4 linked regions of the Caenorhabditis elegans genome follow. The protein of the gene in region 4 purifies or fractionates together with the protein of the main gene of each other region. This does not show direct contact. Each region holds a gene or a part of one and is shown on either strand. Other genes may lie near its edges.

Region 1 (7,634 bases), on a different chromosome or scaffold from region 4:
TTTGTATCTAATCTGCTGTTATAAGTGATCACCACACCTTCACATTTTCCAATTATTTTTGATAATTGAAAACTTATAATTTTAGGCTTAAAATTCAAAACATTTTCGGAAAAATGCGGATGACTAAAAGTTAAAAAAAACTTCTGAAAATATTAAACAGTTTTGGGATAAAAAAAACTTCCAACAACCATTCCCTCTTCCATGTCAAAAAAAGTTCTTTGATTATTTTACTCACTTCAATACCTGATCACCTTATCCTAACTCAACTTACCACATAAAAGCTGAAAAATATCGGAAAATGAATTCCACCTGTTCTCCAACGTTTTCACTCTCTCTCTCTGTTGCTCTAACCCGTGACACTGATTAAAAACTCAATTAGCTACTTGAGCGTTGACTCACCTTTGTCGCTTGCTCACTGTTGCTCAACCAAAAAAAATATCAGCAAATTTCCATGTTCATGAGTTCAGCCGACCGAAACGGAGCACACTCAGAATGAGAGCTCAGAGCTCACTTTTTCTTCTTATACTTTAATTGTACCTATTCAAATGCAAGTGCTTGTAATCCTCATTCGGGTTAGCAGCGACTTTTTTCTTTCGTTATAAATTTTCAAATGGGGATCCCTGAGATCAAGATTAGAAATAATCCCCATGTGATCTTCACACAAAGTTTCGGATTTTTTTTTGGAATTCAAATTCAAAAGGTTAATTCCATATTTTTGTTCCGCGTTTTTGAAATTAAAAAATCATTGATGTTTTATTGATCGGAAACTGCATATTTTATTGCAATTCAAAATTGCGGGGCATGTTTTCTGCTCATTCTCCCCCAGATCACATCCGTTCCAAGTACTCTCAATTGAAAAATATAATGCAATTTCGTTTTATTAATTACACTCACGGGAAGGTACTAAAACTTTAGTGACAATACTTTCTGTCAACTCAATTTCCAGACTCCAGACACCTACGGTTTCCGGGTAAATTCCGATGGAAATGAATGCTTCCTCTCTTATTTTTCTGAGTAATAACAAGAGTATCAAAACTTTGCATACTTGAATTGTAATACTAATGTGAATCACAGCTTAATCGGAAATCTCTGAGGAACCGTCTAGTAAGGACTTCTGATTCAAAATTCAGTGTATTCTGAAACTAATATTCAAGTTGTAATGCTTGGCTAGGTAGTGTTTATAGGTAGTGTTTATTATAGTGATCCTAAAGAGTTTTGTTTTTAATACTTAGAAACATTTTGAAGTTCAACGGCTATTGGACAAGGGCCGGCGGCAATTGCCGTTTGGTAAATTTGTTTGTTGACAAATTAGGCAAATCGACAAATTGCCGGTTTGTCGACTTGCCGGAAATTTTAATTCTTGCCAATTTGCCGATTTGCCGGAAAAAATCGTTTGCCGCGTTTCTAATCGTTTCTACAGTAACCTTACTGAAACCCAGTAGTATAAAAGCCTGGTTTTCCAAGCAGGTACATAAACTTTCATTACCTGAAAACCCACCCCCCCCCCCCCCAACTCCAGAAAGAACCAAGATCACTTTTCCTTCCTACCTACACACTCACTTCTCCCTTATTACATTTCACCATTCCTTATATATTTTCTACCGAAAATGGCGAGTAAGGAGAAAATGTGATTTATAATTATTATTCGGGTCGAGAGCTCTTGCTCGCGAGCAGTAGCTGCCTGCTACCTAACACAACACACTCATTTCCATGTTTTTTTCACCACTTTTTCACGTTTTGTTAAGGTTTCTGTTATATCAGAAGGAACAGGTTTTAATTAGGTGTAACCTAGAGGAAAATTTTTGAGTTTCAAGTAAGATTATGCCTATTTTTCTTCCATACTTGTTTCAATTCTCGTTTTCAAAAAATCAACAAAAAAAATTCCTGGAAAATTAAATATTTCTCTTTTTTTTTCTTTTTCAATTTTTCTTGGAAGTCAGAACTTTTGGAATTTGGAGAGCGGCAAGCAAAGTGAAAACAATCAAATTTCTGATCAAAAACTATAGCAAAACTATCTAGTTGAGCATGAGAATTGATTATTTTCTGCAATGCGGGTGCTTGAATTTGAAAGATTGAATTGTTTTCTATACAAATTTCAGACTATTTTTGTTCATGAAATCTGCAGTTTTAATATTTCCGATTTTTACAAATTAACTGGAAATTTCTGAAAATATTCATGCTTCAATTTTTAGATATTTTCAGATATTCTGGGTGTCAAAATGGACATAGTATTCGTGTATAACATGTTCTCAGCTTTTAAAAAATATAAATTTCAACCCAAAAATCGCAATTTCATTTTTTCTCCATTTTTTTGGAGGCAAACGTCCACTTTGGTTTTTGAGAGCGGAGAACGATTTTGGAGATTAACCAACATTTCTGATAAATTCTTTAAAAATTCAATTGTGGACTTAAAATACCGTGGTTTAACAAAATTTGAAGTGAAAATGTTTAAAAAAATTAAATGGGCAAAAATCAAAAATTTGAGAAAATAACCAGAAACTAGGAAGCCGGTAGACCATGAATTGCTACTGCCGTTTATAAATCTGCCCCACCAGCAAACTATGTTCCAAAATAACTTGAATTCAAACTCCACAAATTTTGTCCCGTTCCAGAAATCTTTGATCCACTGAACTTTTACGTGCACCTGTTACACTTTTCCCGCCGGATCTTGAGTTCAAGCTTCTAACAAGTAATAAAACAGCCTACGTATAAATACATTTATAACATTAACATTCGAAAAACCAATAGTTCACCTACTTCCTTCTCTTCCCTTATTATTTCTTGTCAGAACTCTCTACTATAATTTCGCAGTTTTTTGTCACTTTGTTTATCCCACTTCTTCGTATTTTTCCCTCTTCTGCCTTCTTCTCACTTTTTTAAAGCAATCATTTGGTTATATTCATACTTTCTATAAGTTTTTGGGAAGAAGAACACTGATTTTTGATATGCGTCTTTTCTTTCGGAAAAGATCCCCGAGAAAACTCAAGTCTAGTCTCAGATTTTGACAAATTTAAGTGTTAAGCTGACAAGGAAAAGTTTCGATTTTTTTAAATGTTTCATCGAAAATTAGGATTTTCAAAAAAGCTCATTTTAATAGGTCCCCACAAAAATTATACTGCTTGGAAGCATTTTAAACAAGGCAAATTAGATTTAAAAGATTTCTCAAAATCTACAGTTTTTTATTATGCTTTGGGTCATAGGAAAAGTTTGAGATCTTTTCAAAACAAAATTATTAACCCTAAAAAATCTAATTTTTTCCACAATGAATATGGCTAAATTTTCAGTTAGGATTTATTTGATTTCCAAGATCTAACTGGCCATTTCCACAATTTAAGCCAAAATTCAAATTAGTTTTCAGCCTTGTGAACGCGAATTTATGTTGCTCTGTTCCCCGTCATCCCATAAAAAATCAGCCGTCTTCCGTTTTATGACTACTTCAACACACAAAAAATCCAATCATCATTCCATTGCCACGTCATAATTGAGGCTTATTCAATTTGTCTTCTTCATGTTTACTCACTCCTTCTCCTTTTTCAGAGTCTTTCAATTTCAAATTTTCAGAACATTTCCTGATTGAGGTGATGAGAAGTTGTGCTTAAGATTTTTAATAAAACAAGTATCGTTATAAATCTATATATTTTCAATGGGTGCCACATTATGTGCACCGAAAAAGAAAAAAACCGTGAGTTTTGAGCTTGATTCGGAAGATGAACATTTCTCAAAAATTTTTGGATTTTTTACATTCTTTTCAAAAAAACAGTACATAAGAATAGAGAACTACAGTACTCTTTAAAGACGCACAGAACATTTTAAAAAATTATTTTCCAGCAAGTCGGAGCATCTTGGGTCGGAAACGAATCTGAAAATCCATTTGACTTAGCCCTCAATAAAAAAGACCGTACTCTGTTACGTGAAACTTGGCAAAGGCTAGATGATCCGAAGGATATTGTTGGTCTTATATTCTTAGATATTGTCAATGATATTGAACCGGACCTCAAGAAAGTGTTTGGCGTGGATCGGGCTCCGCGAGCCGCGATGCTGAAAATGCCGAAATTCGGAGGGCATATTCTAAGATTCTATGAGTTCATGGAGCAGGTTAGCTGTCTAAACTACATTTTTAAGAGTATTTTTTGAACTCAAATTTATTATTCCAGCTCACGTCAATGCTTGGCACGTCTGAAAATCTGACGGGTGCATGGCAATTGGTACGAAAAACGGGAAGAAGTCATGTCAGACAAGGGTAAGTGCGCAGGTGCAAATGCCGTCACTTTGTATGATTATATAGTCCAATGCCATTTGATGATTTTTCAGTTTCTTGGAACAAAATCAGAACCAGATGGAGAAGAACTATTTCGAAATTGTTATAAATGTATTTATCGAGCGATTAATTCCATTTCTGACGGGTGAACAGGTGAGATTGTGGGATCAGTTAGGTCAAGCTAGTTTGAAAGTTCAACTAATTGATTTGTTGGAAGGTTTATTTGGAGTACAACTCAATCAAATTATTTTCTAATAAAGGAATTAATTGAGCTTGATTTCTGAAAAAATCTATATAATTCGAAAAAGAAATTTTGCGGTCGAGAAGCATTTTGAAAATTTTCCCGAACGTAGATTAGGATGTTTGTGAGCGAGGAAATTACTTGAGCTGTTTTCAAAAAAATGTTTGTTTTTCTTTTTAAAAAAGGTGCAATTTTTGATCCAGTTGGGCAAAATAGTTGCGGGTTTTTTCAAAAAATTAGAATAATATTTTCAAATAAGTATTTTTAAATGTTACTTCAGATCGGATTTTTTAGTTCTTTGTGATCCTCTTCCTATAAATTCTTGTAGATACCTATTCGAAATAAGATTGTTTAAATTAAATTGGTTTTTTTTTCTAAAAAAGTTCATAATCTCCCCTCGTAAAACAAAAAACCTTTTCACCCAACAAATATGATTTTAGGAGCTTCCATCATCAGAAGGAAAAGAGAACAAAAAAGTGCGATTTGCTCAAAACTACACCACATCTCAAATCACAGACGTCTGGAAGAAGTTCTTAAACACAGTAATTAGTCAAATGACTGACTCATTTGAATTGGAAAGAGCAAAACAGAAGAGTGCACAAACAACAAAAGCCTTGGCTCCACATCAACATATCGAGATTTCGGAAAGGAAGAAGAAGAGGGTGGCGGTATGTTATTAGTTGATATCATACATTTGTTAATTTGATATTGGCATTTTCAGGAAAAACAAAGCGAGATTGAAAATACGGCAGTTTCAAATGAACCAAAAGCTCAAGAGCAAATGTTCGAAGATCCATTCTGAAAGTATATTTTTATAGTGATATACCATATAAAACATATTGACACTGAAAAAACACTGATAAATAAAACTGATTAAATTTATTGAATAAATGATTTTTTTTTGATTTTGTAGCACATTTAATGCACAAAAATGAGCTAAGCTTTTTTTGCTATTGCGTCACACAAAGACATGCAATTTTGGAGACAAAATAGCATTGCTGAATTAGGTTTAGATACATTTTTATGTGAATTGAAAGTCAGAGCCAATTACGTTATAGGCCGATTATTTTTCGAGTTTATGTATATGAGGTTTTATCCTCTTGAGGATCTATTCCATTTCGGTAAGAGGATTCAAAAAAAGTCAACTAACAAATCACTAAAAATTCAAAATACATTTTTCCGTCGGCAACATTTTAAAATCGTAATTATTTTGCCAAGATATGATAGTTACCTAAGCGTTTTTTGTGCTGTAAGTAGGACGTCAAGTTTGAAAATGCAAATTTCATTTTTCACCAATTTTTCAAACGATGTTAAAAAAGAGTATAGAATATTGCTTAGTTTGCTCTCCAGCAACCACAATTCACGATACTGAACAAGTTTTTTTTTAACCAAAATATTTATTAATTTGTTGAAAATATAATCTAACAAATTATTTAAACCGTATTTTTCAATTTTCTCAGGTCAATTGTTCAATTAATGCTCTTGAGAAATGCAATGTCAATGTCATCTCGGCTTGCACAATTCCACTCCGATCGTAAACTGAATTTGAATTCAATTATAAGAATGAGATACTTACGACAAATGACTAACCATCAATTACAAACGATTTGTTCTGTGTGTTGTTTGGCACTAAAATCAAACTTCCGAAGCCGAGCTCCTCTTCGTCGCCTGGACTGATCTTGATGATGGTTAACTCAAATTTGATGCTAGCACGGATCCATTGATCGAGAAGAGAAAGTTGACCACGCGTCAGGGTGTATTCTGAATAATTGAGATTATCGGGGTTAACTTTAGAGAGTGGCATTTAAGTTATTTTCTAAACGTACTTCAAAAAAAAAACCAAACATTTTAGAAGAATTTTTGAATTTTATTTTTTCATCCTCTGAATCGCCACATTTCAATGAACATTAAAAAAATTAATAATGTTTCAGTCAAGCTCTGAGATATGAGCTCTTGAAGTTGAGCTCTTGATGCACCATGTTCAAAAACTAGGTCCTCCAACTTTAGACGTTCATATCTCAAAAAATTGTCACAAAAATGTAAGTGCTAAAATATTTAAAATTGAATGTTCTATATTTCTGCTTAAAGAATTGTTTCAATACCTTTGAATTGAACTGGGGCCATAGATATCAAGCAGATAAGTATTTTATACTTCCCATAAAAAATCTCAAAAAACTAATACCTTTTGTATATCGAATATCCACCATTTCTTGTGGTCTTCTCGGAAAATCAAATATCGTACTCTTCGACTGCTCATTCGTAAAATCCAAAAATACCCAATCAACGAAAAACGTCGTCTCTTCTCTTGTCAATGGAGTCAGACTTGATCCGGGAACAAGTTCAAATGTTTCCAATTGTATTGAAACTTTCATATTCGGTTCCAGTACATCTTTGTCGGTTGGTGACAACGGTTTTCGCACTTTGATCAAACTATGCCCTTCATAATCCGGCAGTGGAACAGGTGCTTTTTCGGCGCGACGTGGTGATGAAGTTGACGAGGATTCAGATGCTGAAATTCAAAAATAGGGATGTGGAAAAGAAATTTCTATTCGAGGGTTTGCGGCTTCTATTTAATATGCAGTAATAAAATAACTAGAATTCGACTTTGAACACGTTATAACATTTGTGTCAAAACATGAAAAGCTATAAAAATTATTTGAAATCATCAACTCACGTGGAACTGAAAAATGCAACGGATCTGTGAATAAAATTCTTCCTGTTGAACCTTGTTGCCTGGTAGCTTCTGGTTGCTCAGTCAACGCAATTGGTCCAACCGGTATATTCCTGGGTTTTGCAATTGGAGGGAGAGCTCCAAGAAGGCTCTTGAGCTCTTCGGTTTTTAACTCTCTTTTTCTATCTTCCTCGGTTTCAGCTACCTCGTTAGGCTCTGATTCCACCACCGGCTCTGGTTCTGGCCCTGATTCTGGTTCTAACTCTGGATCTACAGGTGCCACGTCATCCGTCTTATCAACAGATCGTTGTGTCACTGGTGTAGACTCCTTACTCTCGTTAGTACCATTTGGTTTCAAGGGGTCTGATGGTCTTGGTGTATCCTCCGGAGAAGGAAGGTTTTCTACTTGTCGCTCTGGAACTTCTAGAGGCTCGGGATCTCTCTGGGATGATACTGCTGACACC
Region 2 (7,771 bases), on a different chromosome or scaffold from region 4:
TATTGCCACGTGGTCATCCAATTGATTTCCTTCAATTGACAAGCATTTGAGCTTCTGGCATGGTTTCAACATAATCTGCATTTGGCGGGCAGTGAGATTAGTGCGAGAGAGATCGAGAAGCTCCAAGCGGGAGGTGCTCAGCAGTGCAACTTCGACGAGCCGTTCATCGGCACGAAGGATTCGATCGGCCTGGAAACAGTTAGTTTTATAGGAAATAAAATAAAATTCTCACTTTAGCTCCTGCCAGACGAAGAACTTTGATTTTTCGTTGTGACAACGCAATCAGTGAAATTTCGGAAATAGGACGATCCTGGGCGTCGGTGATAATCCAATTTCTCGATTTGTGTCCGATTCCGTAAAAACGATGACAGACGAGCATCGCCGAGAGAAGATCCTTCTTTTTCAAATTGGAAAAGATTTGTTCAGTGATCTCATCGGGAATACTGTACTTTTTGAACGGATTCTGAATACTGCGTGCGTCTTTTCGCTTGATCGGAGCGATTTCATCTTCTACGAGATTTTTGCAATTCAGATTTATCGACTTTAGCTTTTCGGAGCTGAAATGTCGTAAAATTAAGAAAATTAAGAGATAATTGCAGCTTACTTTCCGGAAACTGAAAGCCTGAGGCTTTTCTTTGGATAGAGGTTGTAGCATGGAAAGATGGAGATGGTCTCATCTGAGAATACTTTGAAAAAGTCAATCATATTTGAATTTTGACACACAATTACCTGTCTCCACGCAATGCTCATTTTCAGAGGGTCCGTTATCTTCTAGAGTTGATGGAAGTCTTCCTATGACACGAGACATTTTGTTTGAGTAGATATGAGGTGTAGTATTTAGGTGGTAAATAAGGGAAAAAGCACTTTCTGCTTGAAATAAATTCAAAACAGGGCTGATTTGAATAAATATGAACTCGCGGGCGCGGTAATCTTTTTTAGGTTGGCGCGAGTTTTTGCAATGCAAACGCGCTCCACCGCAAATCTGAATTTTCGAACATTTTTCGCCAATTTTTATCCTTATTTTTTTATTTTTTGCAATATTTCGCTATTTTTATTTGTTTCTCCCACCAAAAGCGCACATTTTTAAATCAAAATACGATTAAATAAAAGTAATATAACTTTTTAAATAAGTCCAAATAACCTTTAAGCAAAGTAAGGGTCGAATCTGAAACTATTTCTTGAAAACAACTTTTTTGTCTCATTCATCGAAGATTGGTTGTATTCGGAAGTGAGAGGTTGACAAGTTTTTTAAAATCCATTTTATTAATTATTCCGAAATACACATTTAGTTCCAATAGTTTCGAAATTTAAAACGTTTGAGTCATCCTTCATTTTTTCTGCCTAGTTGCTGTGATCATTTGGAGAGAGTATAAGAATTTATTAATCATTTCGAAAAAAAAAATCATTTTTGAATATCCTGTATCATTCTATTAAACTTGAAGTTATTCGGCCGGTGTTGAACAATTTGCTCCTCATTGGCGATCATTTCGTTATTCTGATTTCTTCGATTATAACGGAAGGAGAGTGGATCTGAATTTACAGTAGATTTTAAATTGGTTTTTCTTGAATTTCCTCACCTAATTTTTGTAGTGGAACAGGCGCTATGTCCACCGGCTCTGCAATATTGTTCAAGCCGATCGAGCGATTTGCGTAGAGATTTATTTCATTAAAGATATAATCATCTGACAAATTATCTGGCACCCCTCGTTTTCTTTTAGAAGTTTCCTCGATAGGTTCGGTTACAATTACATCGGTTTGTTGAGCTGAAATAGGATCCAAATTATCAAATATCCTTCTCTATTCATGTTATAAATCTTGGTTGTAAGAACAGTTAACATAATTAGTAACAATTAGAAACCTGATGTGATTAAGATTCTATCACTGTTTTTAAATAGTAAAATAAATAATTTTGACATACGTATATTGATAACTTCTCCTCTTTGTAACGCCTCAATCAATGCATCCAAATCAAGATCTCCATCACCTTGAGCCTCACGCAGTGCTCTCTCCTTTCGAAGCCTTTCCTTCAGTCGTTTAATCTGTCATTAAGCCACTAGTATACACCTTGGAGAGCCACCACAAACCTGCTCGGCTCGTCGCCGTCTACTTTCCTTATCTATCTCCTCTTCACGCTTGCCGTCTGCCCATTTGTTGAAGCTGAATGTGTTGAACACATTCGCACCGTCTCCCATTGTACTGTTCTGTAAATATATAAACTGAGCTAATGAGAAGAATACGTACTAGAGCACCACGCTTTTGCGAAAAATGAGAACCAAAAGCTCGATTGTGCACTCACTTTTGCATATTTTATTAAAGCTTTTGACGTCCTTTTCTCTTTTGTTCGCCTGTTTGAAATTTTTGAAAACCAGGAAACCATGATGATTTTAAATGTTTAATGATGTTCTTCTAACAGCATGCCCACGCGTTTTGCCTGAAAATTCGAATCAAATTAATTTTCAGCCTTTTTATTGTTTAAATATCAGAAAAAAACTGGCTGTTCACTAATCACGTGATGCCTGTGTTTTCATCCTCCCTTCTACACTGAAAATATTCTATTTTAAGGACATTTTCAGTCATTTTCCGGCGCTGTTCCCTCTGTCGTCGCCACGTCCAGTACACCGAAACCGACGACAAATCGATGAGAGCTCTACGACCGCAGGCGCGATGGATTGTGCTATTGCAGTGAGAGAGAGATGGCCGTTCTCTGCTTCTCTGCGTATCACTGTCGCAGCTGTTTCTCTTCTTCTCCTTTCGCCGCTCTTTTTTTGCATGTTCGTCAGGTTCACTATAGCGATTTCTTAATATCGAAATTTCACGAGTTTCAGAGTTGATTTTCGAAAGATCAGTGAAAATATTGTCCACGTGGTAGAGTTTTTCACTGATTTCTCGAAAATTCCAATAGTTTCTTTAAAAATCACACTCTTCTTCTTTGAACAATTCCATTTCATTGATTTTCTATATTTTCGTACAGAAATAATAATGTTTCAACAAAAATATGTTTTCTAGCACTGAACATTCTTAAATTTGAATTTAATTTTCTTAATATCAGATATTCAAAGATGACTATTCGTAGATTCTGCAAGTTCTTTCAAAATACTCAATTTTTCTATTTTCTCTCCAATTTATTTCTCCAAAAACCACCCGGTAATCAATATTTCAACACATTGCTGTGTTATCTTCACTGCGTCTCCTCTCTCTCTCTTGTTCTCCTCATGCCCGATGATAATCCGTTTCTCTTCCCGTTCTTTCTCCTTTGAATAGCCGCGAGATTAATTTTCATAAAACAAATTTCAGCACTCTTCATCATGTCGGTTGTCGAAGAAGCCACTGACGACGCGCTCTACCCGATTGCCGTGCTCATTGACGAGCTGCGCAACGAAGATGTCACGTTGCGACTGAACAGCATTCGCAAACTCTCCACAATCGCTTTGGCGTTGGGTGTGGAGCGCACACGCAACGAGCTCATCCAATTTTTGACCGACACGATTTACGACGAAGATGAGGTTCTGCTTGTGCTCGCCGAGCAACTCGGAAATTTCACTCCATTGGTCGGTGGTCCAGATCATGTTCATTGTCTTCTCCTTCCACTTGAGAACTTGGCCACAGTCGAGGAGACCGTGGTCCGTGACAAAGCCGTTGAGAGTCTCCGCAAAATCGCCGACAAGCACAGCTCGGCCTCATTGGAGGAGCATTTCGTGCCGATGCTCAGACGTTTGGCCACTGGAGACTGGTTCACATCCCGTACCTCGGCTTGTGGGCTTTTCTCTGTTGTTTATCCACGTGTCAGTCCAGCTATCAAGTCGGAATTGAAGAGGTGAGAATTAAGAAAAGAATAACTAAAGCAATCTAAATTAATTATTTTCAGCATGTTCCGAACCCTGTGCCGTGATGACACCCCAATGGTTCGCCGTGCTGCTGCTGCAAAGCTCGGAGAGTTCGCAAAGGTGTTTGAGAAGACTGCCGTCATCGAGGGTCTCCACTCCAGTCTCACTGATCTTCATGTTGATGAGCAAGATTCTGTTCGTTTGCTCACTGTCGAGTCAGCCATCGCTTTCGGAACTCTCCTCGATAAGGCTAACAAGAAGAAACTCATCGAGCCAATTCTCATTGAATTGTTCGATGACAAGTCGTGGAGAGTTCGTTATATGGTTGCCGAGAAGCTTATCGAGATTCAGAATGTCCTCGGTGAGGATATGGATACCACACATCTCGTTAACATGTACACGAACCTTCTCAAGGATCCAGAGGGTGAGGTTAGATGTGCTGCCACTCAGAGACTTCAGGAATTCGCTCTCAACTTGCCAGAGGACAAGCGTCAGAACATTATCTGCAACTCACTGCTCAACGTTGCCAAGGAATTGGTTACTGATGGGAATCAGCTCGTCAAGTCGGAACTCGCCGGTGTCATCATGGGACTTGCTCCACTGATTGGCAAGGAACAAACTGTCTCTGAGCTTCTCCCAATCTACATGCAGTTGCTTAACGATCAAACCCCAGAAGTTCGCCTCAATATTATTTCCAGTCTTGATAAGGTCAATGAAGTGATCGGAGCAGCTCAATTGTCCACATCCCTCTTGCCAGCCATCGTTGGATTGGCCGAGGATGGAAAATGGAGAGTTCGACTCGCAATTGTTCAATTCATGCCACTTCTTGCTTCCCAGTTGGGACAAGAATTCTTCGATGAGAAGTTGCTTCCGCTTTGTTTGAACTGGCTTACCGACCATGGTAACTTGATTTTTTCTTAAAAATGTTTTTAATTTAATTTTTTCCAGTGTTCTCAATCCGCGAGGCATCGACCCTCATCATGAAGGAACTGACACAGAAGTTTGGAGGACAATGGGCTAGCACGAATATTGTACCAAAAATGCAGAAACTTCAGAAGGACACCAACTACCTGCAGAGAATGACATGCTTGTTCTGTTTGAATACACTCAGTGAGGCGATGACTCAGGAGCAGATTCTGAAGGAGATTATGCCAATTGTGAAAGATGTAGGGAAATTTTACTTTTTTATTTAAAGAAATCGTAATTTTTCTAATTTCAGCTTGTCGAGGATGACGTGCCGAATGTCAGATTCAACGCCGCAAAGAGTTTGAAGCGAATTGGAAAGAACTTGACCCCAAGGTGACAGGAAAATCTTTTTCACTATCCCAATTTTCTATTTTCAGTACATTGACGTCCGAGGTGAAGCCACTGCTCGAGAAGCTCGGAAAAGATTCAGACTTTGACGTTCGATACTTTTCAGAGGAAGCCAAGAACTGTAAGTTTCAGTTGTCTTAAAATTTAGAGTGAATTTGAAATTGAACATTTTCAGCACTCGGCTTGTAATCGAACATATCGCTAGTCAAATTGGAATCTCTACATCTTCCACTTCTCAATCGTCTTATTTTTCCATTTTTGTTCCCGAGCACGCGAATAATCTCTATCTCTCCTCATTCATTTGTAAATGTTTAGCCCTCGAGACAAAACTCTGTATTGTAATAGTTCTAACCACCGTCCCTCCCACAACAAAACAATACAAATTATAATCGTTAAATTATGCGACCTCTCTTTATGATTATTTTCATTTTCCTCCCACTTCTATCCCGTATATTTCACCATCCTACTTCTTTCTGTTCTTTTTCCACCACACACAATCACCACTTTTTCCATTGCGACCCATTCATTCATTTATTTTTTTTGCAGAATAAAAGGTCATCGTCTATTATGAGAAAAAAGGTCTCAGGTTAGGTTAGATCAGTGTGGTTGAAATCTCTGAAAATATTTGGAATAATGGTGTTATCCGGCGTATGCCACGTCGCAGAAGCTTTTGAGCAGAGAATCTCGGTGCTTTTGCAACGTGGATTAAATATTGCTCAAGTTGCAAGCGTTGTGAAACGTCTCATTCAAATAAAAAATTTACTTTTGCCATTTGGAACTTTGAAACCATCTTTTTGGCCGTTTGGCAAATCCAGCTGGCAAAGAGCGGGCATAAATTTATATTAAACGCGCAGTTTCCCGATTGATTGTCTCAGAAACTTCCAGTGCTCAGATTTTGCCACGTGGCTAGAAGTTTTCGTTGCCAAAATTATTTTTTCCAATTAAAAAACTGTTCGCATTTACTTTTCAATTTTTCAATTCAATCGGAGAATTGTTTACGTAGTTTCTCTTTGCAGGTGCTATGCCAAGACGATGATAATTTATTTCCTCCAACTATTCCTGCTGCCGTCCACGACCGCCACGGCAGGCGTATTTGACCTTGCAGAGTACCGACGGGTCTCTTATGACGCGAATATTGGCGAGAATTTTCTTTGGTTCGCCCCGGAATTGGATATTCGAAAAGTTACAGCCAGCAATATTGATGATCTCGAAAAGCGAATTGTTAATCGGATTCCCGATGACTCGACCGAGCAGAATTTGATGTTTGTGACGAGTAAAGGAGGGCAGAAGTTTGCATGTTCTTTGCCAGATGTGGAAGATGTTAAGGTACACATTTTTAGATTAAATATTGTGCTTTGTTGTAAAAATCGGCAAAAATTTGTAGCGTGTTGTTTACAGTTGACTTTAGGTGTTCTTTGTTTCATTACAGCGATAATATTAGTTCGAAAGTCACGTTTTCGAGTTTTTCGCTTAATTTTTTAAATTTTCACCATAATTTATAAACAATCAGTGAAAATACGCTAATAAGAGTTTTATTTCAGTATTCAGACATTAAAAACGCATAAACGGTCTCAAATATTGTCTGGTTTCAGAAAGACAAACCAAAAAGCAGCAAGAATCCGAAAATCTATGGAGACGCGCTCGCCGCAAGCTTTTACGTGGACAAATGTGTGAAACTACGTGGTAATCACTGGTGGTCTTATATTCTGTGCCGTGGACAGACAATTGAGCAAGTGCACGGAGAACGTGAGTGTCAATAATAGGAAAATAAACCAATCAATATACATATATATTGCAGCTGGTCAGGAGGGATATGTAAAGAATATACTCGGATTGTTCGATGGAAGTCTCAAAATGCCATCCTATCAAGAATCAACGGATGATCGATTGCTTTTCGTCGAGGAAACGTACACGAGTGGGACTTTCTGTGATTTGGAGGAATACAGGGAGCCACGGATGACTTCTGTTCGGGTATTATATTAAAAAAAAAAGACATTTTACCGCTCTAACTACGGGATTGTTACTTTAAAACGATTTTTGAAAAAATGTATACAACATTTTTTACTTTAAAATACTAATTTAATTTTTGAGAGAAATATCAACATGGCTAAAAATCTTCATTTTTTTTGGAAAGTTCACTGATGTGTTCCATAGTTTTTTAGACAATTTTTAAAAAGCATAACGTACTGAAATTCCAAAAATAAAAGTTAAAATCTAGGCTAAATTGGCGAATAAAGTGTTTTTAAAGTAACAGGAAAATAAAATTATTATTTATAAAATTGTACTTCAAAAAAAAATCAATTTTAAACTTCAAAAACAGGGAAAAAACTACCAAACAACCTTTCAAACCTTGGTCCCTATTCAAAAACCACAAATTTCTCCTAAACAGCTAATACTTTCCAGTTTTTCAGTACGAATGTGACGCCCAACTGAGTACCAACGAGGTATACATCTCTTCAGTTGTCGAAGTGAAACCATGTCAGTACTTGATGATTGTAAAAGTTGGAACCCTCTGCAGATATCCGGAATTCTTGCCCGCAAGCCAGTCAAATACCAAGAAAATTGGATGTCAACCATTTTTGAGAAAAGAAGATGTTCGACAATTGTTAGAACGACAGCTTGAGGAGAAACAA
Region 3 (6,451 bases), 5.0 Mb from region 4:
ATCCACAAATTTTTCGAAATCTGTCACTGGTTTTGCTTCTCCTTCGGTTTGAGCGACCATTGGGAGCTCACCGCTCGGCGATCTCCAAGGACGGGTCGATTGGATGACTCTTACTGGGCTGGCACACATTTTAGAGCACGCCTGGAACAGAAATGACGATAATTAACCAAAGTTGACACAAAATCTTACCAAAAACTGCAGAGACACAACGTCAATAGTTGGGAGACCGAAGTCTGACGGCCAAATGTGTAATTCCATTGATATTACAAACAAATTTTGAGCTTGAAATTCCAAATTCGGAAAAAAATCAAGATGGACTAGGAAAAAAATGGAGCCGCTCAGGTGAAACCTCGGTCACGGCCATGCCACTTTTTTGCGGGAATTTTAAATTGGAGTTTTTTTAATGTGTGAATCACGGAAGCTGCGGAAAATTTCGAACAAAGCCTCAATTTTTGCTAATTTCTCGAGTTTTTGAAGAATACGTTTGAAAAAACATCAAAACTGCAGTTCATTCATGAATGAAAAAAAAACAGATTTTTAAAAAGATTTTAAAATTACAGTATCTCCCCAATTGCTATCCTGTATAATAGTTGTTTTGAATGAAAATCTATGTAAGATTTTTTTTAGTTTTCCACAAATAATCGTGCATTTTTAAAATATTTCTCACGAATCAGTTTCCACGAGACAAAAATGTCCCCGCTTGGTGAGTTGCAAGTGCGCTCCACCGATAAAAGTGTCGAGAATGTTCACGAAAAATCGTTAGAACAGTTTTCGCGTTTTCTCCTCTTTTTCGCCCTTTATCTCTTGACTTTCCCCATTTTTGACTTCAAAATCGATTTTATCGTGTTGGATTTACGCAAAACAATTCGCTTTTTGGTATAATTTTCATTCTGACACTCGAAATTCGTCGATAAATGAAGAAAAATTATTATTTTCTTTTTCAGATTCGTATTTATCAAAATGGTGAAGGAAACAGGATATTATGACGTTCTCGGAGTAAAGCCGGATGCTTCAGACAATGAGTTGAAGAAGGCCTACCGTAAAATGGCGCTCAAATTCCATCCAGACAAGAATCCAGACGGAGCTGAGCAATTCAAGCAGATCTCCCAGGTTTGTTACGAAATCCAGCTGCAAAGTTGAAATTACTCATATTGCAGGCATACGAAGTATTATCAGATGAGAAGAAACGTCAGATTTATGATCAGGGTGGAGAAGAAGCACTTCAAGGCGGTGGTGGTGGCGGAGAGGGATTCCACAATCCGTTCGACGTATTCGACATGTTCTTCGGAGGCGGTGGTCGTGGTGGTCGTGGAGAACGTCGAGTAAAACCAACGGTTCACAATTTACGGGTCACACTCGACACACTGTACAAGGGTGTTACGAAAAAGCTGAAAATCTCAAGAACTGCCACTTGTAAAGGATGCAAGGGACTTGGAGGCAACGAGGGATCCGCTAAGGAGTGCTCTGATTGTCGTGGACGTGGAATCAAGGTTCGTGTTATCAGAATGGGACCAATGGTTCAACAAATGCAATCTCACTGCGACAGTTGTAATGGAGAAGGCTCAACATTCCTTGAAAAAGATCGCTGCAAAAAGTGTAACGGAAAGAAGCAGGTTTGACTTTTCTCCAATCGAATTCGAAACTATAATTAGTGATTTCAGGTGAAAGAAGACGAAATTATTGAAGTTGGAATCACGCCTGGCATGAAAGATGGCGAGAAGTTTGTGTTCGAAGGAAAAGGAGACGAAGTGATCGGTATTGAGAAGCCTGGAGACTTTGTAGTTGTGCTCGACGAGGTTGAACACGAGAAATTCGTCCGAAAAGGCGATAATCTGATTATTCAACACAATATCGATCTTTCCGAGGCTCTGTGCGGATTTGTGCGAACAATCAGTACACTTGATGGTCGAACAATTTTCTATCGTGTTCTTCCTGGAGAGGTTATTGCTCATGCCGATGTTAAAGTGATCCACAACGAGGGAATGCCAATGCGTCGAGCATCATCTGATAAAGGAGATCTTCTCGTACAGTTCGATGTGAAATTCCCCGATAAAATTAATCCAGATGCCGCGAAGAAGCTAGCCGATTTACTGCCTGGAAAGAGTTCGTTTTATTGCGTTTACAGTGTGAAATACTAATCATTTTTCTTTCAGGAGAAGAAATCATTGATGAAGACGCGGAAGTCGTTGAGCTGACCGAGTTAGATCCACAAGCATCTCGCAGGAATTTCGCTGAGCGCGACGACTTTGAAGGACACGGTGGATTCGGTGGACATGGACACGGGCCACAAGGCGTTCAATGCCAACAGTCTTGAATTTCACACCAATTTACACTTTTTCTGGTCACTTTCCTTCACTATTTTAGGATTTCAAACTTGGCTCCATTTCTTTCCTACTATCTGCATGGTTTTCATCTTTTAAAAACTCATAAGCCTAATTTCGACGATCTGTGATCTTGAAATTGATTTATTTTTTTGTGTTCCCCGTTCGTTTTACTTTTTATTCCCATCAACTTTAGTTCCTGCTCCATATGGTCTCGTTTCGTCCCCTCTTCATTACTTTTTTTGTTTGATATCGATATCCTACCCACATTCATTTCAGTGTTACGTTTTCCCTTAATTGACTGTCCGTCAGTCTTTTGTGAACAAGGGAGAATAAAAAAATTGATTTATTTTTGCCATTCCTTTCGCCTAAATCCGCCGATCGATGCGCTCACGGCAAGAACGCACGGTGGAAGGGAAAGAAAAGCGAAAAGTAGCCAAAAATGTGCAGGTGGATGCGAATCGTAGATGAAAATTAGAAAGAAAATGCTGGCAATCGTGTGTGACAACGTGGAATATAGAGATCGAGACGGCGACGGGAGATCCACGAGAATTGAGGCGAATTCGATGAGAATAGCGAGTTTTGTGAAGACCAGGCAAACTGTGAAGCCTATTCGGGCCTCCTCACTGATGGATGCACCGCCCGAAACTGATGCTTCCAAATGAGAAGCCTTGAAAAATAGATTTTAGATTTTAAATAATTTTTTTCGAGACTTCCTAACCTGAGAAAATATTGTAATCGTCGACAAGGCGAAATGTCCCATCAAACATTGAAAGTATTTAGTACAGGTGTCCGTTTTCGTGAACATTTCTTAAAGAAGCTTGCGAAAATCGATGAGTTACTCCACTAGCCCACTTCTCCCGTTGCCATGGCGACGTTCCTTCTTTCAATTACATTTTCGAGTGCTTTTTCGCTGTAGACCCTATAGGTTTACATGAAAAATTTTATTTTCTATTCATTTTCCAAAAAAAAAACCCTGAAAATCCCTTTTTTTCCTTCTTTTTCTGTGAAAAAATAGATTTCAATTTCTCGAAACGCGAGAAATGGCCTAGAAAACCCCATAGCGGCGGCCATGGCCGGTGTCCGGCAGCGTTGAGTTAGATGTGCAGGTATCGTAACCCAGTGTGCATTTAACGTTTCTCCATCGTATTTCGCTCACTTTTCTGCTGGCCTAAACGATTTTTTGACTTTTTTCTTGAAAATTCATCGTTTTTTCTGAAATTTCTGTTTAAAAAAATTGAATTGACAAATATAATCGATTTAGTTCATGTTTTCGCCAGATTAGTTCGTCAGATTTCTTTAAATCCTCGATTTTCGCCATTTTCTCTTGATTCTAGGATTGAAATTGATATCCTGTCGCATTTTCCTTATCTCTGCATGTGAAACAGCTTAATCCGAATAATTTCTAGTGAGAATTGTCTTAATTTCGAATTTTTTCGCTCGATTTATTGAAGGCTACGTTATAATTTCTTTAATTCTTTGGTTTTCAGGGTACAATGACGTTCAAGAGACGTAACCACGGAAGAAACAAGAAGAACCGCGGACACGTCGCGTTCATTCGCTGCACCAACTGCGGACGCTGCTGCCCAAAGGATAAGGCCATCAAGAAGTTCGTTGTCAGAAACATCGTTGAGGCTGCCGCCGTTAGAGACATCGGAGATGCTTCTGCTTACACCCGTTAGTTTTTAGAATTTTTAAATCATTCGTGGAAAGGATTGAATAATCTCGCAGCACGTGTGTTTAGCTGGATCCTCACTTTTTAAGCTCCGAGACTTGCCGAAGAGACGAATTTTATTGAGAGACCCTAGTAAAATTATCCCGCATTTCTAAGTCAAAGAGCGAGTGGTCCTCCTGAATACCCGTGTCACAGATTCTGATTAAAAAAAATGTTTGCTCATGAAATTATTTCATAAAGATTTAAATTCTATTTTCAGAGTATGCTCTTCCAAAGCTCTACCACAAGCTCCATTACTGCATCGCCTGCGCCATCCACAGCAAGGTCGTCAGAAATCGTTCCCGTGAGGCCAGAAGAGATCGCAACCCACCACCACGTTTCGGACAGCGCGCCGCTGCTGCTCGTCCAGGAGCTCCAGGACCACGTCCATAAGTTGTTTGTTCTTTGAAATTATAAACCTTTTTGTTGCAATCGAATTCTGTATCGCACGCGATGAAAGATGAACCGATTAAAGACGATTTGATTTTATAAAATAATATATTTATGTTATTAGAAGAATTATCAACAGAAAACAACAATGGAAAGTGCGCAAATATAAGTGAGCTTCTATACCCGAACTGAATTGTGTTGCTCAATGCTGTTCACATTTACTCCTTTGAAATTGCTCAGATAGATGTTATGAGGTGATGACTCCACAGTCAGGTCACTTTTCTCGTCTTCCTCTATCCGTTTCGTCTGCGGTGAGCATGATGGTATTGAGATCCGTCGTGTTGCTTTGGTGTTTTTATCGCTCCATTTCTTCCCACCCCGTTTTTTAGAAATGTGCGGGTTGTCTTGATACAAATTTTTCAACTTGTACATGCGTAATTGCGTGTAGACGCGCTTCAACTCTGCCTGAAAAACAAATGACATTGAATAGCGGGGACGAATTTTAAATCCAAACTGACCCGAATGTCTTCGGGGTTCATGTCAGCGATCGGAACTTCCGCAAAGTCGATAGTTCCGTTTAGTATGTTGTCACGTAGTTTAGCCAGCGAAGGATGAGCACGTCCCGAGTGGCCGCCAAGTGTCATCGATCGACGACTTGGCTCTCCATTTGACTGAAAATAAATAATATTTAATGAATTTTCTAACCAATTACCAAATAGAATTTAGGTGCCACAATGATAACAATGTTCACCGAAACTGTAAGCTGTAGATGGACAAATGAGACGATGAAGAGGGTGTCAGCTCGTCCCGAATTTCGAATAGAATACCTTTAAAAAATTGAATTTACAAATTTTCAGATATTTCAGGACTTCACTCACCTAATCAAGTTGGCCATTAATGTGATAACAGCTTCCAAGCACACAGCTACAGTGAACTGCCATCGTTCCAGCCAATCACTATTCCTGGCCTTATAGCACAGCCTAACTGCATACAGAAGGAAGAGCAACTCGTACCCGTGCCAAATAACATGCCATCCTTGCATCAGACATTGTGGCCACGCTGTTCTCCATAGTGCTGTATCGCCCCACGACCCAACTGTCCAGGCCATCAGGCCAGTTATTGTTAGTGCAAGCATGGCTGCAAGGTATTTGAGCATATCTTGCTCGCGGACAGACACGTGTTGAGCTTTTCGAACTCGATATTCTTGGAGGTTCCTGGAAAGTAATATTTTAAATAGCAAAAAAAAAGATTGCATCATAGATATGGACGGTGGCAAACGATTGTTCCGGCAAATCGGCAAACCAGGAAAATTGTCGATTCGCCGAATTTGTCGGTTTTAGAATTTTTAAAAATTGCCGATTTGCCGTTTTTTGCCGGAAAAGCAGCAATTGCCGAACTTTTCGGCAAATTGTAGTTTTGCACATTTTTAAAGGAAATTTCAATTTCAATCGGAAAATTGCCAGAATTGAAATTTCCGGCGAATCGGCAATTTGCCGGAATGGAAAATTTTTGGCACTTTGCCGGAATTGAAAATATCCGGCAAATCGCCGGAATTGAAAATATCCGGCAAATCGGCAATTTTTCGGAATTGAAAATTTCTGGCAATTTGCAGGAATTGAAAATATCCGGCAATTCGGCAATTTTTCGGAATTGAAAATTTCTGGCAATTTGCAGGAATTGAAAATATCCGGCAATTCGCCGGAATTAAAAATATCCGGCAAATCGGCAATTTTTCGGAATTGAAAATTTCTGGCAATTTGCAGGAATTGAAAATATCCGGCAATTCGCCGGAATTGAAAATATCCGGCAAATCGGCAATTTTTCGGAATTGAAAATTTCTGGCAATTTGCAGGAATTGAAAATATCCGGCAATTCGCCGGAATTAAAAATATCCGGCAATTCGCCCAATTGAAAATTTCTGGCAGATCGGCAATTTGCCGGAATTGAAAATATCCACCAAACCGGCAATTTGCCGAAATTGCCGACAAAAAAATGTGCCCCTGATACGAACCTATAAATTTTGAGC
Region 4 (9,545 bases):
TTAATCATTATGGGTAATTGGAGTTTGCAGCCGAATGTTTTGCACAAAAATCAGTTTGTTTCGGCGGAGCCATGTAAGCCCCTCTACTGCTCTTGAACATTTGTAAAATATTCAGAAATTTCAGAAAAGCGATTTAAAACGAGGTGGAGTCATCCATAACATCCTTAGTTCTGAATGTATCAAGGAACGAATCTACAGCGTCAAAGAACCTCGTAGCATTGGTAAAAAACATCGCGGTCAATTTTGGAACCATTTATCGGCTGGAGCTAGATTTGTCTTCTTCAAAACTTTCTGTCCATTGTTCAAAGAGGTTCTGAATTCTTCATTTTCAATTTTGAAATAAAATATAATTTAACGTTACAAATTATATAATGAGAGAGGATTCAGCAACTTGTCAATCAACTTTAGAAACTATTCAGTTTGACGTTCAAGAAGAACTTGTAGTATTATTCCAATACTCCAGTTTCGAATTTTGGACGTTTTCCGATCTCACCTCGAACGAAATGCTGTCAAATCTAAGTGAAGATATGCGCCTTTAAAAAGTACAGTAATCCATTCGCCGTTTTGGAATGGTGTAATGTACTATTTAAAGGGTGTAATCCTCTTTGCGCGACCTTCATTAAAAATATTTCGTTTGTGGCGAGACCTGGAAAATCGAAACTTACAATTGTTGATAATTTCGGGAACTTCAAAATCGCCCATTCTTTTTTCAACTTCGCTCTTAATTTCCTTTTTTCGCAGTTTACGGACAATTTTTTCACAAGTTATTTTAACTTTGTGAATAATAATTTTGCCATTAACCAAAAAAACACTATTTTTTAATAGAATTTCTTTTCTTTACACCCATCTTACACTAGATTTCTAGTTCAGTACAAATTGGCTACGGTCAACAATTCAGCACGGCGCCTAAGACGCAAACACCGTGTACACGATGACGCGCAACTGCACACTCTTCGGTTCAAATTGTGTTTTTTGCGTTTGAGTTCGTTGATTCATTTTTTCATCTATTTCTTCCGATTCATAGGGTTTTCTACTCTTTTTCAGTAATTTTTTTATTATTACGCTTGGCACAATGAGAATTCTCGCGATATTGCGTTAAAAATGGCTGGTAAACAGGCTTCGGTCGAACGAAGGCGGTAATGAGAGTCGAGTACTTGAAGAACATACTCTCAAGTGGCGACTGATCGATTGGGTTAAGGTGTGCTCGAAAAGCTCATTTTTCTTGTCATTCGATCTACTGTGAAAATGAAACTAGTTGGAATTGTCTCGAATATTATTTGTACCCTTGTTGTCCTGTTTTGAGATTTCCATTTCTTTGACTCGGTTTTTTTTGCGGCAAGCTGAGTCGACATATTTTATGTTTTTTGTATCACTTCGCGGCCACATTCTTTTCTGTCTTGATATTTTATTTGTGCTTCCTCTTTTTTTCTGCTTTCTCCTTTTCTGTACGCGTCTCCGATAATTATTCATGTAGAGAGATGGAGAGAGAGGTACTAGTGGTAATTGAGCAGCATGAGCATGAGAGAAGAGCCCTGAACGAGCCGAGTTTTCAGAGGAGCGCAGATATTATATGTATGTTTTGGCAAGCACGAGAGCAACACAACCAGTTAGATGAATACGAGTTTTAGTGTTTTCAATGTTTTTTCCAAGTTTTGAGCCATTTTTAATTTCGAATTTAATTTTAAAGGCACTACTAAATAATTGCAAGTATAGGGAAATTATAATTTTATCAACCTTGAGGATTTATTTTTTATTCAAATTTTTGGTCTATATTAAAAACCACTTGCACATTGTCAGAATTTCTTCCCTAATGAGCAAAAAGCGAAATTTTCAGCAATTCGATCACAAAAATCATGTGTTTCCGGATTTTGTTATGCGAAATTATCTAAATTTTGAAAAATAACTTGTTACCGACTTACATCACATCTCTTTTTCTTCGTTTTCTTCCTGAAAACAAATTTTCGGCAAGTCCCTAAAAAGAAGAGCCCAACTCATTACACTTTTTGCGAACACTAATTGACCCTACTTTCACTGAACTAAGTTTTCTTTTACGAAACGGTCAAAATGTGCTTCCAAATAATGATAGTAACATTTTTCAAATAAAAAAAGAAAGAGTTGACTGTCCATCAATGCTATTAGCTTCGCACACAGTTTCTTTGTGTTCCATCGTCGAGCTGTCTGCGTAACTCGTTTAGGTGCACTGTCTCGTGTTTCATACTCTGCGTCATTCCGTTTTCGCCATTCGGTTCGTCGCCGGCGCCATAGCCAATCGATTATTTGGTTCTTCAAGGCAGTAGTCGCCCATCTCTTCATGTCTCCTCGCGCTCCCTTCGGAAGAACACTGATATCTCTTCTCGCTCCTTCTCGACGTCTTCTTTTCCTCCCCCACCATGTCTTCTGCTTCTCCACCGGCTGATGCTGTCGTCGCCTCATGCTGCACACGTCGTTGACACTCACAGGCCCGCACACACATGGAGGGAGTGCTCCATCTCTCGTTTTTGCCGCTTAGAAAATGGATGTATATTGTTTTTTAATCCATCATGATTCCTTCCGTCTCCGTTTTTCACTTTTTATTACATTTTGCCAATTGGATTTCTGTTGATCACAACAATCTTATTCAGCATTTTCCTTATTATTATTTTGAAATAATCAAGCTTTTAACTTTTGAAATCATATTTGCTTTCTGATCAATAATTTTTTGTTTCTATCGGAGGACAGCTGATAAGTAAGAGGTTCCTTCTCGTGTAGTCATGAGTAGTCATTGATTATTTCCGTCTTGTTGTTGCCCTCTGGCCAGCTGCGTGAAGTTCTTCTCTGCGTGATCGCATACTGTTTCAGTCATTTTCCTATGACTCATCTGATAATTATTGATCGATCGATTGGTTATCTACCATTTTGAAAAAAAAGTTGAAGTTATAATCTGATTTTGCGCCTCACTCTGCTCATTATTATTCGGCACACACGCACACATACACACTCATTTTTGTTTCCTTTTCTGTCTCTTTCTCTCTACGGTCTGTCTATTGCTCCGTTTTTGGTTAACTGGAATTCACACAGGTGAGGGAGCGGATTAGGAAGAAACTTGAATAGAAAAAAGAATTCAGTGAAAATGAGATGATTAGAGAACTACCTCGAGCCATGTATCTCTGCTTTCGTGCTTTATGAGCATTCAGTGTTGATAGTAATAACATAATGAGATGACTGAAGAGACGCAGATGTTGTGAAGAAGCTCGAATTAATCTCGCGCGTTTGCTCTGCGCCGATGGATTAAGAGTCCCTTGGTTGGCAGACGAGATCTCGGTAAGCATCATCTGCTTGTTTTCTCCAACCAAATCTTCGTGCTTTTGACCAACAATTTTTTTTTGACTAAAATGCGGCGATCAGAGAGATATTACTTATAAATTGATCTACGTAAATTAAGCATCCATTATCAACATTTTTGTGTTATTTCATTTTCTAATTTTGTTGCACTGAAATGCACTCAAAACCGGTCCCTTCCGTTTACAAATTGCAAATGCGCCCTTTCGCACCCTAGTTTTTTTGCCCGCGTTTCGTCATGTAAATTGCGATAGCATTGCGGCACCGCTGTGATTCTCGGTCATTTTTGTGATCGAATCAAACATACAAACTTTTAAACAACGTTCTTTGTCTCTAATTCTCTGACCTGAGTGTTCCATTCCTTTTGACTCTTTGAAAAAACTTTGCAGCTATTTCTCTTTCAAACAATTGTCTTAATTTCCTGTTTTACCATGTTGTGCTTTTTCTTCATCACTCGACAGATTTGTTGCCTAGCAACCTGCGGCATGAGGATTTATGCTTCTTTTTTTCCCGATGTCAATCTCTGAATTCCTAATCCAATTTTGTATATAATAATTTCCATTTTTCAGACGCATTAAAAATAGTCGTCATTCCCGTGTCTCAAACACTTTAATCTTCGTCACATCCAGTGATTAGGAAGGGAAGAGAACCAAAGAAACAACGAAAAAGAGGAAAAATTTGAATAATGGTGATGGAAGTGGACGAACCTGCAGTTGCGGCGACTACATCGCAAAATCAACCGCAGGAGCATGCGAATGACTTTGATATGGATACCTCCGAGGGACCAATTGAGAACGATGAAACATTTGAACCGGTAGATCAAATAAATTGGAAATTCAACCAGGTGAAAGGAAATATAGATGCCGATGTGCACACGGAAGGTAAAAAATTGTTACTTGAAATTTCCCTACGTTTTTGATACTATTTCTTAAAGACGCACGATTTATTCAGAAAAAAGTTGGTGGTTTAATTGCCTTGTTTTTTTTTAAAATTAAAATACTACTTAGTTCATTTTTTGCGAAATTTGTCATATTCTTTTCATTTTTCTGTGAAAATTGTTTTAAATCAGTTTTTAAAGTAAAACATTCGAAAAAAATTACCATAAACATTATTGCGCGCCGAGACCCATCTGAATTAATGCGTGCGACTTTAAGATGATATGTCAAAAATTAGTAAAAATTATGATGCCTAGAATACTGAAAAATCGAATAATTTTCAGCCGATGTGATCTCTTGTGTGGAATTTTCACACGATGGTGAATATTTGGCAACGGGAGACAAAGGAGGACGTGTTGTAATTTTCCAACGAGATCAGAGTGTAGGTTTTAGTTTTTAGAAAGACGAGAACTGTTTTAAATATTTAATTTTTCAGGGAAAGTATGTGAAAGGCGTTCGATCGAGGGAATATAATGTTTACTCGACATTTCAATCTCATGAACCTGAATTTGATTATTTGAAATCACTAGAAATTGACGAGAAAATTAATCAAATTCGGTGGCTTAAAAAGAAGAATGCAGCCAATTTCATTCTCTCGACCAACGACAAAACAATCAAGCTGTGGAAAATTAGTGAAAGAGAGCGTAAAATTGGAGACGATGCATGGAATCTGCCTAGAACAAACAGAATCAAGTATAACATTAATGATTAAATATTTTAAATATATAAATATAATTTTCAGCACTTCCTCCTTCCGAGGTCGCTTACAAATACCCTCGATCGTGCCAATGGAGTTGATAGTTGAAGCAAGTCCGAGACGAGTTTACGGAAATGCTCACACTTATCACGTCAACAGTATTTCAGTGAATTCTGATCAGGTATTTTAATAATTTTTTTTTGTGTTCAGCTTTTTTCAATCCAAAGTATACGATGAATCAAAATCTCAACAGTATAACCTTCTTCACATGTTCGGCGTATTTTTTTAACTATTCAATTTATTAGAAAAATAGTACCAGGTTGGCTGAATTCTTTTTTGTGAAAATTTAAAATGTTTGGTACTGCAAGGACCAAAATATCAATTATGTATAAGTGAACCGAAATTAAAAATTATATTCCGATTTTCAGGAAACATTCCTATCTGCCGACGATTTGCGAGTTAACCTTTGGAATCTGGAGATTACCAATGAGTCTTTCAGTGAGTTTTGAATACTTGTTTTCAAAAAATTTTAATATCGATTTCTTCCAGACATTGTCGACATCAAGCCTGCTAATATGGAAGAACTTACGGAAGTTATTACTGCCGCCGAATTCCATCCAACGCAGTGTAATTGGTTTGTATACTCTTCATCAAAAGGATCTATTCGATTGTGTGATATGAGAGATCGTGCTCTATGTGATGCGTATGCTAAAAGTGCGTTTGGTTCTGTGTATTGATTATATAAATAATATTAATTTGCAGTTTTCGAGGAACCAGAAGACCCTCAATCTCGATCTTTCTTCTCGGAGATTATTGCATCTGTTAGTGACGTCAAATTCTCACATAATGGAAGGTACTTGCTTACGAGGGACTATCTTACTGTCAAGGTAATTATTAATAATTAAAAAGAAAATTTGAACAACTTTTATATTTCAGGTGTGGGATTTGAACATGGAATCACAACCGGTAGAGACATATCCAGTGCACAATTATTTACGAACAAAACTCTGTGCACTCTACGAAAATGATTCAATTTTCGATAAATTCGAGTGCGATTGGAGTGGAGATGACAAGTAATTAATTGCAGTACTTTTTCATATTATAATTTTCTTTTTGCAGACATATTCTCACGGGTTCGTATCATAATCTGTTCCGTTCATATGCTCGTGGCAATAACCAAGATGCGAAAACTTGGGAAGCTCGGCCTCAAGAACCACATTCACAGCTCCGATCTCGATTTGTTGTACCATCAGCGAAACGGAAGAGAAACAATCTGTCATCAAGCGGTGAAACGGTAAGATTTCAATTAAATTTAAAAAAACGTCTTCATGTTTAAATGGGTCTCTGCGCGCAAAAAAAGTTTATGGTAGTTTTTATTTTTATTTTATGCGACTGCTTCTCGTTTATTTTTTATTTTTCAATATAATTACTTCGTATTTAGCGACATTTTTTCGCTAAAAATACACTTTAAACGACGTAATTTTATTGAAAATGTAAAATAAACGAGGAATCAGCCGCATAAAATAAAAGCACAACCGTAAATTTTCTTGATCGCCAAGACTCATCTGAATACATCCGTGCACCTTTAAGAATGCATGTTAAACTCTCGTGAAAATATGATAAACATATCTTACTTCAAAATCAACAAAAACCCAATTTACAGACCGAAGAGGATCTTTCATCTGATCAACTTCAATTTGATCGTAAAATATTGCACACAGCATGGCATCCAAAGGATAACATCATTGCTCTTGCTGCCACTAACAATCTCTACATCTTCTCAGATGTTTAAATTATTGTTTTCGTAAACTTGTTGGATTTCGTCCTCCCCCAATCATCATTTTCCCTTTTTCTCAATTTATCCTCAAATATCACATTCATATAACTCTAAATTTTTTTTTCATATTTTCCCCATATTTTTGTGAGTCAATTCTTTCTCAAATCCCGTCCCTTCTTTCCCGTTTTCGTAGTCCTCATGTCGACTTATAGACATTTAATCGCGTATTCAATGTTACTCGCTTTCTTTCTTTCAAATCCTTCGTCATCGTAAATTTTTGAAGTAAAACAGGAATAAGCTCTTAGTTGGTTTCTATTTTTCAACTGTTAAAGTTGTCTTTTGCTTCCAATTTGAGATAGAGTTGTACTTTATTATTCTTATAGCTTCTTTTTCTTTACTCTCTCCCTCTCTCTATCCTCTCATATCATTCTTGAATTACGTGGCCCGTTTTCTATACTTTTCCCTCACTCTTCAACTCCAGTGTTCTCTTTCTTGTCTCTTCCACCACCACTTTTAAAAAGATAACTGTAGATCCTTAACCCCGAATCATTCGGGTCGTGTCTCTCCCACTTTTAGGATGATTTCTCCTGTTAGATTCACAATGTGTTTCACGACTTAATCCTCTTGTTTGAAAGCGTGTGAAGGTATTATTCTCACCTTGTTAGCTCCATTCTGTAATTTTGAAAACTATAAAAATCGCCCAAAAAATTTTTGAAATTTTTCCGACTTTAGTTATTTTCTCTCCACTTTCTCTGTTCGTTTGTCTGTCACAAAATTACAAACTTTCAAATCAAGAATCTTGACATAAATTTTTGTATTACTTCCCTCATATTTCTTCATCATTAAATCCCCGTGGGTGTGTCTCATCATTAAGTCTTCCTTTTCCCATAAAATTGTAAGCAATATTTATTTTCCAATCATAAAAACTCATTTATTGAATGGAAATAGTCGACAAATGTACAAAAACAATAATAATAGTATCACATTTGTGGCGATGAGGATTTCAGTTCCATGGCGACGATATGTTTGACGTACTAGTACTTGTGCATCATATGTGACTTTGGAGACTGAAATAAATTAGAAAAATATATTATTGGTGTCTCGACACGACAAATTTATAAATGCGAAAATGTGCGCGCCTTTAAAGATTACTGTAATTTCAAACTATTGCTGCTGCTGAATTTTCACCGAATTGCATAGTTAGAAAAATGGAATATAACAATAAAAGCATAATTTTGAACAAATAATTAGAAAAAATTTAAAAAAAAACTCGATGAAAATTCCGAAGCAATCATAGTTTGAAATTACAGTACTCTTTAAAGGCGCACAACATTTCGCATTTAACTAAAATTTGTCGTGTCGAGGCCGCGTACCGTATTTTTGACGCGGATGTATAAGAGAATAATTAATTGAAAAAAATCGATTATATTACGTTGGATTTTGTTTTGAAAAAAGTACAAAAGTTATAACTTTAAAAAATAGATAAATCGAATCGATGAATTATTTATACTTTGATTCCTTTTGACTTGATAAATATCATTTCCATAGACAAAAAAAGGAGAAAACTATATTTAATCCTTAATCCAAATTCTGACATTTTTATTTTTAAATCGAAACTCTCTTTCGGACAATTGATATTATTAGTTAACATTTACATCTACAAAAACAAGATAATCCTCTAAGGTGTTGTCAAGACAGAAAACATACGGCTGATTTGTTTAGTACACATGGCGAATTTTCTTGAGGGTAAGGGAAAATACACAAAAAATAATATGTGCATTTCCTGTGCAGTTTCAATTTTTTAAAGTTTTTTATATTTCAATTGTTCGAAAATATTTTTAAGGGTGGAGTTCGGAAATTGGGTAGTTTTAATGTACTCGGAATCGATATGCTAAAATATCGCAAAAGAAAACTGATAAAAACAGTGAAAGATGTACATTGCCAACTTCAAAAAATTCGCTAATTCCCTGTTTGAATTTCTTCCAAAATATGAATTCATGTACACTTTTGGATCAATCAACGACTTCTGACTCCACAAACTCTACCTGACATATTGGAATATTCCGAGAATTTTAAGACTAAATCCCTATTTTCCAAACTCCATCTTGAAACAAAAATAAATAGATTCTCGACAATTTACTAAAGAATATTGCAAAAAAAAATTCAGATAATTTTCAGAAACCCCATTGGTATAATAGTATGATAACTAAAAATCCTTCTAGAGCAGTTGTCGTCTACTGAATATTAATTAATCGATTGAAATTATTCAAAAACTTGAATTGAACTCACGATATCTCTTTGTCTTCTGAAGACGTGTACCAGTTGCTTCTTCACGCCATTCATTTGCAACTCCTCTTGTAATTGCAGTTGTCCAAAGAGCATTTGATTCATGTTGTTTTTCGACAACACCATCCAACATCTGATAAATTATATTTCAGACTAATAGCAAAAATATCAAAAACTCACTCGCCGCCCATCACCACTGTATGTCACTTGTGGTTTGCGCTTCTTCTGGAAATGATTTTGCATATACTTTTGTTTTTTTTTCTAGTTTTCATTCAACAAATTTTCCACTTTTTTGAGCAAGAGTAGGCGGACTGAGCCTCGGTGGGTTTGAATTTTCTCCTTGCTAAAATTCAAATTCCCAGAATGGAAGTAGTCGCTAAATTGTACAGTAAATTTCCAAAAGCATAGGATTAAACACAAACAACAAAAACGATAATTTCGAATGATTGTTTGATACAAATTTGTAAGATTAATGACGCCAGAAGAGGAACACAAAATACTAATTTGAACACTAATTTGATACCAGAAACTA

The links.
Region 1: the proteins of sur-6 (region 4) and glb-12 fractionate together in Caenorhabditis elegans (co-fractionation; one large-scale study listed by BioGRID). This does not show direct contact.
Region 2: the proteins of sur-6 (region 4) and paa-1 fractionate together in Caenorhabditis elegans (co-fractionation; one large-scale study listed by BioGRID). This does not show direct contact.
Region 3: the proteins of sur-6 (region 4) and rps-26 fractionate together in Caenorhabditis elegans (co-fractionation; one large-scale study listed by BioGRID). This does not show direct contact.

What each region holds. Positions count from the first base shown.
Region 1 is NC_003280.10:10,727,572-10,735,205, reverse strand, and holds glb-12 (GLOBIN domain-containing protein), read left to right. Parts: upstream 1-3,553; 5' UTR 3,554-3,643; coding exon 3,644-3,682; intron 3,683-3,828; coding exon 3,829-4,095; intron 4,096-4,154; coding exon 4,155-4,240; intron 4,241-4,311; coding exon 4,312-4,411; intron 4,412-4,939; coding exon 4,940-5,167; intron 5,168-5,220; coding exon 5,221-5,301; 3' UTR 5,302-5,402; downstream 5,403-7,634. Other genes in the region: mks-5 (Protein fantom), read right to left, coding at 5,956-6,038, 6,090-6,260, 6,682-7,008, 7,174-7,634.
Region 2 is NC_003281.10:5,447,436-5,455,206, forward strand, and holds paa-1 (putative serine/threonine-protein phosphatase PP2A regulatory subunit), read left to right. Parts: upstream 1-3,294; 5' UTR 3,295-3,305; coding exon 3,306-3,814; intron 3,815-3,865; coding exon 3,866-4,725; intron 4,726-4,772; coding exon 4,773-4,990; intron 4,991-5,043; coding exon 5,044-5,123; intron 5,124-5,167; coding exon 5,168-5,259; intron 5,260-5,313; coding exon 5,314-5,327; 3' UTR 5,328-5,702; downstream 5,703-7,771. Other genes in the region: skpt-1 (F-box domain-containing protein), read right to left, coding at 1-189, 233-557, 605-686, 730-808; F48E8.8 (Hsp20/alpha crystallin family protein), read right to left, coding at 1,403-1,530, 1,578-1,763, 1,919-2,039, 2,085-2,201, 2,297-2,377; F48E8.4 (MRH domain-containing protein), read left to right, coding at 6,171-6,464, 6,731-6,884, 6,937-7,109, 7,550-7,771. UniProt on the Caenorhabditis elegans protein: Acts as a scaffolding protein for phosphatase let-92 and its regulatory subunits.
Region 3 is NC_003279.8:14,756,119-14,762,569, forward strand, and holds rps-26 (Small ribosomal subunit protein eS26), read left to right. Parts: upstream 1-3,811; 5' UTR 3,812-3,817; coding exon 3,818-3,998; intron 3,999-4,255; coding exon 4,256-4,428; 3' UTR 4,429-4,508; downstream 4,509-6,451. Other genes in the region: mtx-1 (Metaxin-1 homolog), read right to left, coding at 1-141, 190-258; dnj-12 (DNaJ domain (prokaryotic heat shock protein)), read left to right, coding at 961-1,110, 1,158-1,613, 1,662-2,103, 2,154-2,314; tmem-107 (Transmembrane protein 107), read right to left, coding at 2,668-2,991, 3,043-3,129; gpr-158 (G-protein coupled receptors family 3 profile domain-containing protein), read right to left, coding at 4,603-4,890, 4,944-5,096, 5,138-5,252, 5,304-5,639, 6,437-6,451.
Region 4 is NC_003279.8:9,750,235-9,759,779, forward strand, and holds sur-6 (Serine/threonine-protein phosphatase 2A regulatory subunit sur-6), read left to right. Parts: upstream 1-3,887; 5' UTR 3,888-4,003; coding exon 4,004-4,199; intron 4,200-4,537; coding exon 4,538-4,635; intron 4,636-4,689; coding exon 4,690-4,946; intron 4,947-4,995; coding exon 4,996-5,131; intron 5,132-5,378; coding exon 5,379-5,448; intron 5,449-5,499; coding exon 5,500-5,664; intron 5,665-5,712; coding exon 5,713-5,837; intron 5,838-5,886; coding exon 5,887-6,023; intron 6,024-6,069; coding exon 6,070-6,244; intron 6,245-6,613; coding exon 6,614-6,742; 3' UTR 6,743-7,654; downstream 7,655-9,545. Other genes in the region: F26E4.2 (Tnp_DDE_dom domain-containing protein), read right to left, coding at 7,655-7,794, 9,017-9,146, 9,194-9,238. UniProt on the Caenorhabditis elegans protein: Probable regulatory subunit of serine/threonine phosphatase let-92.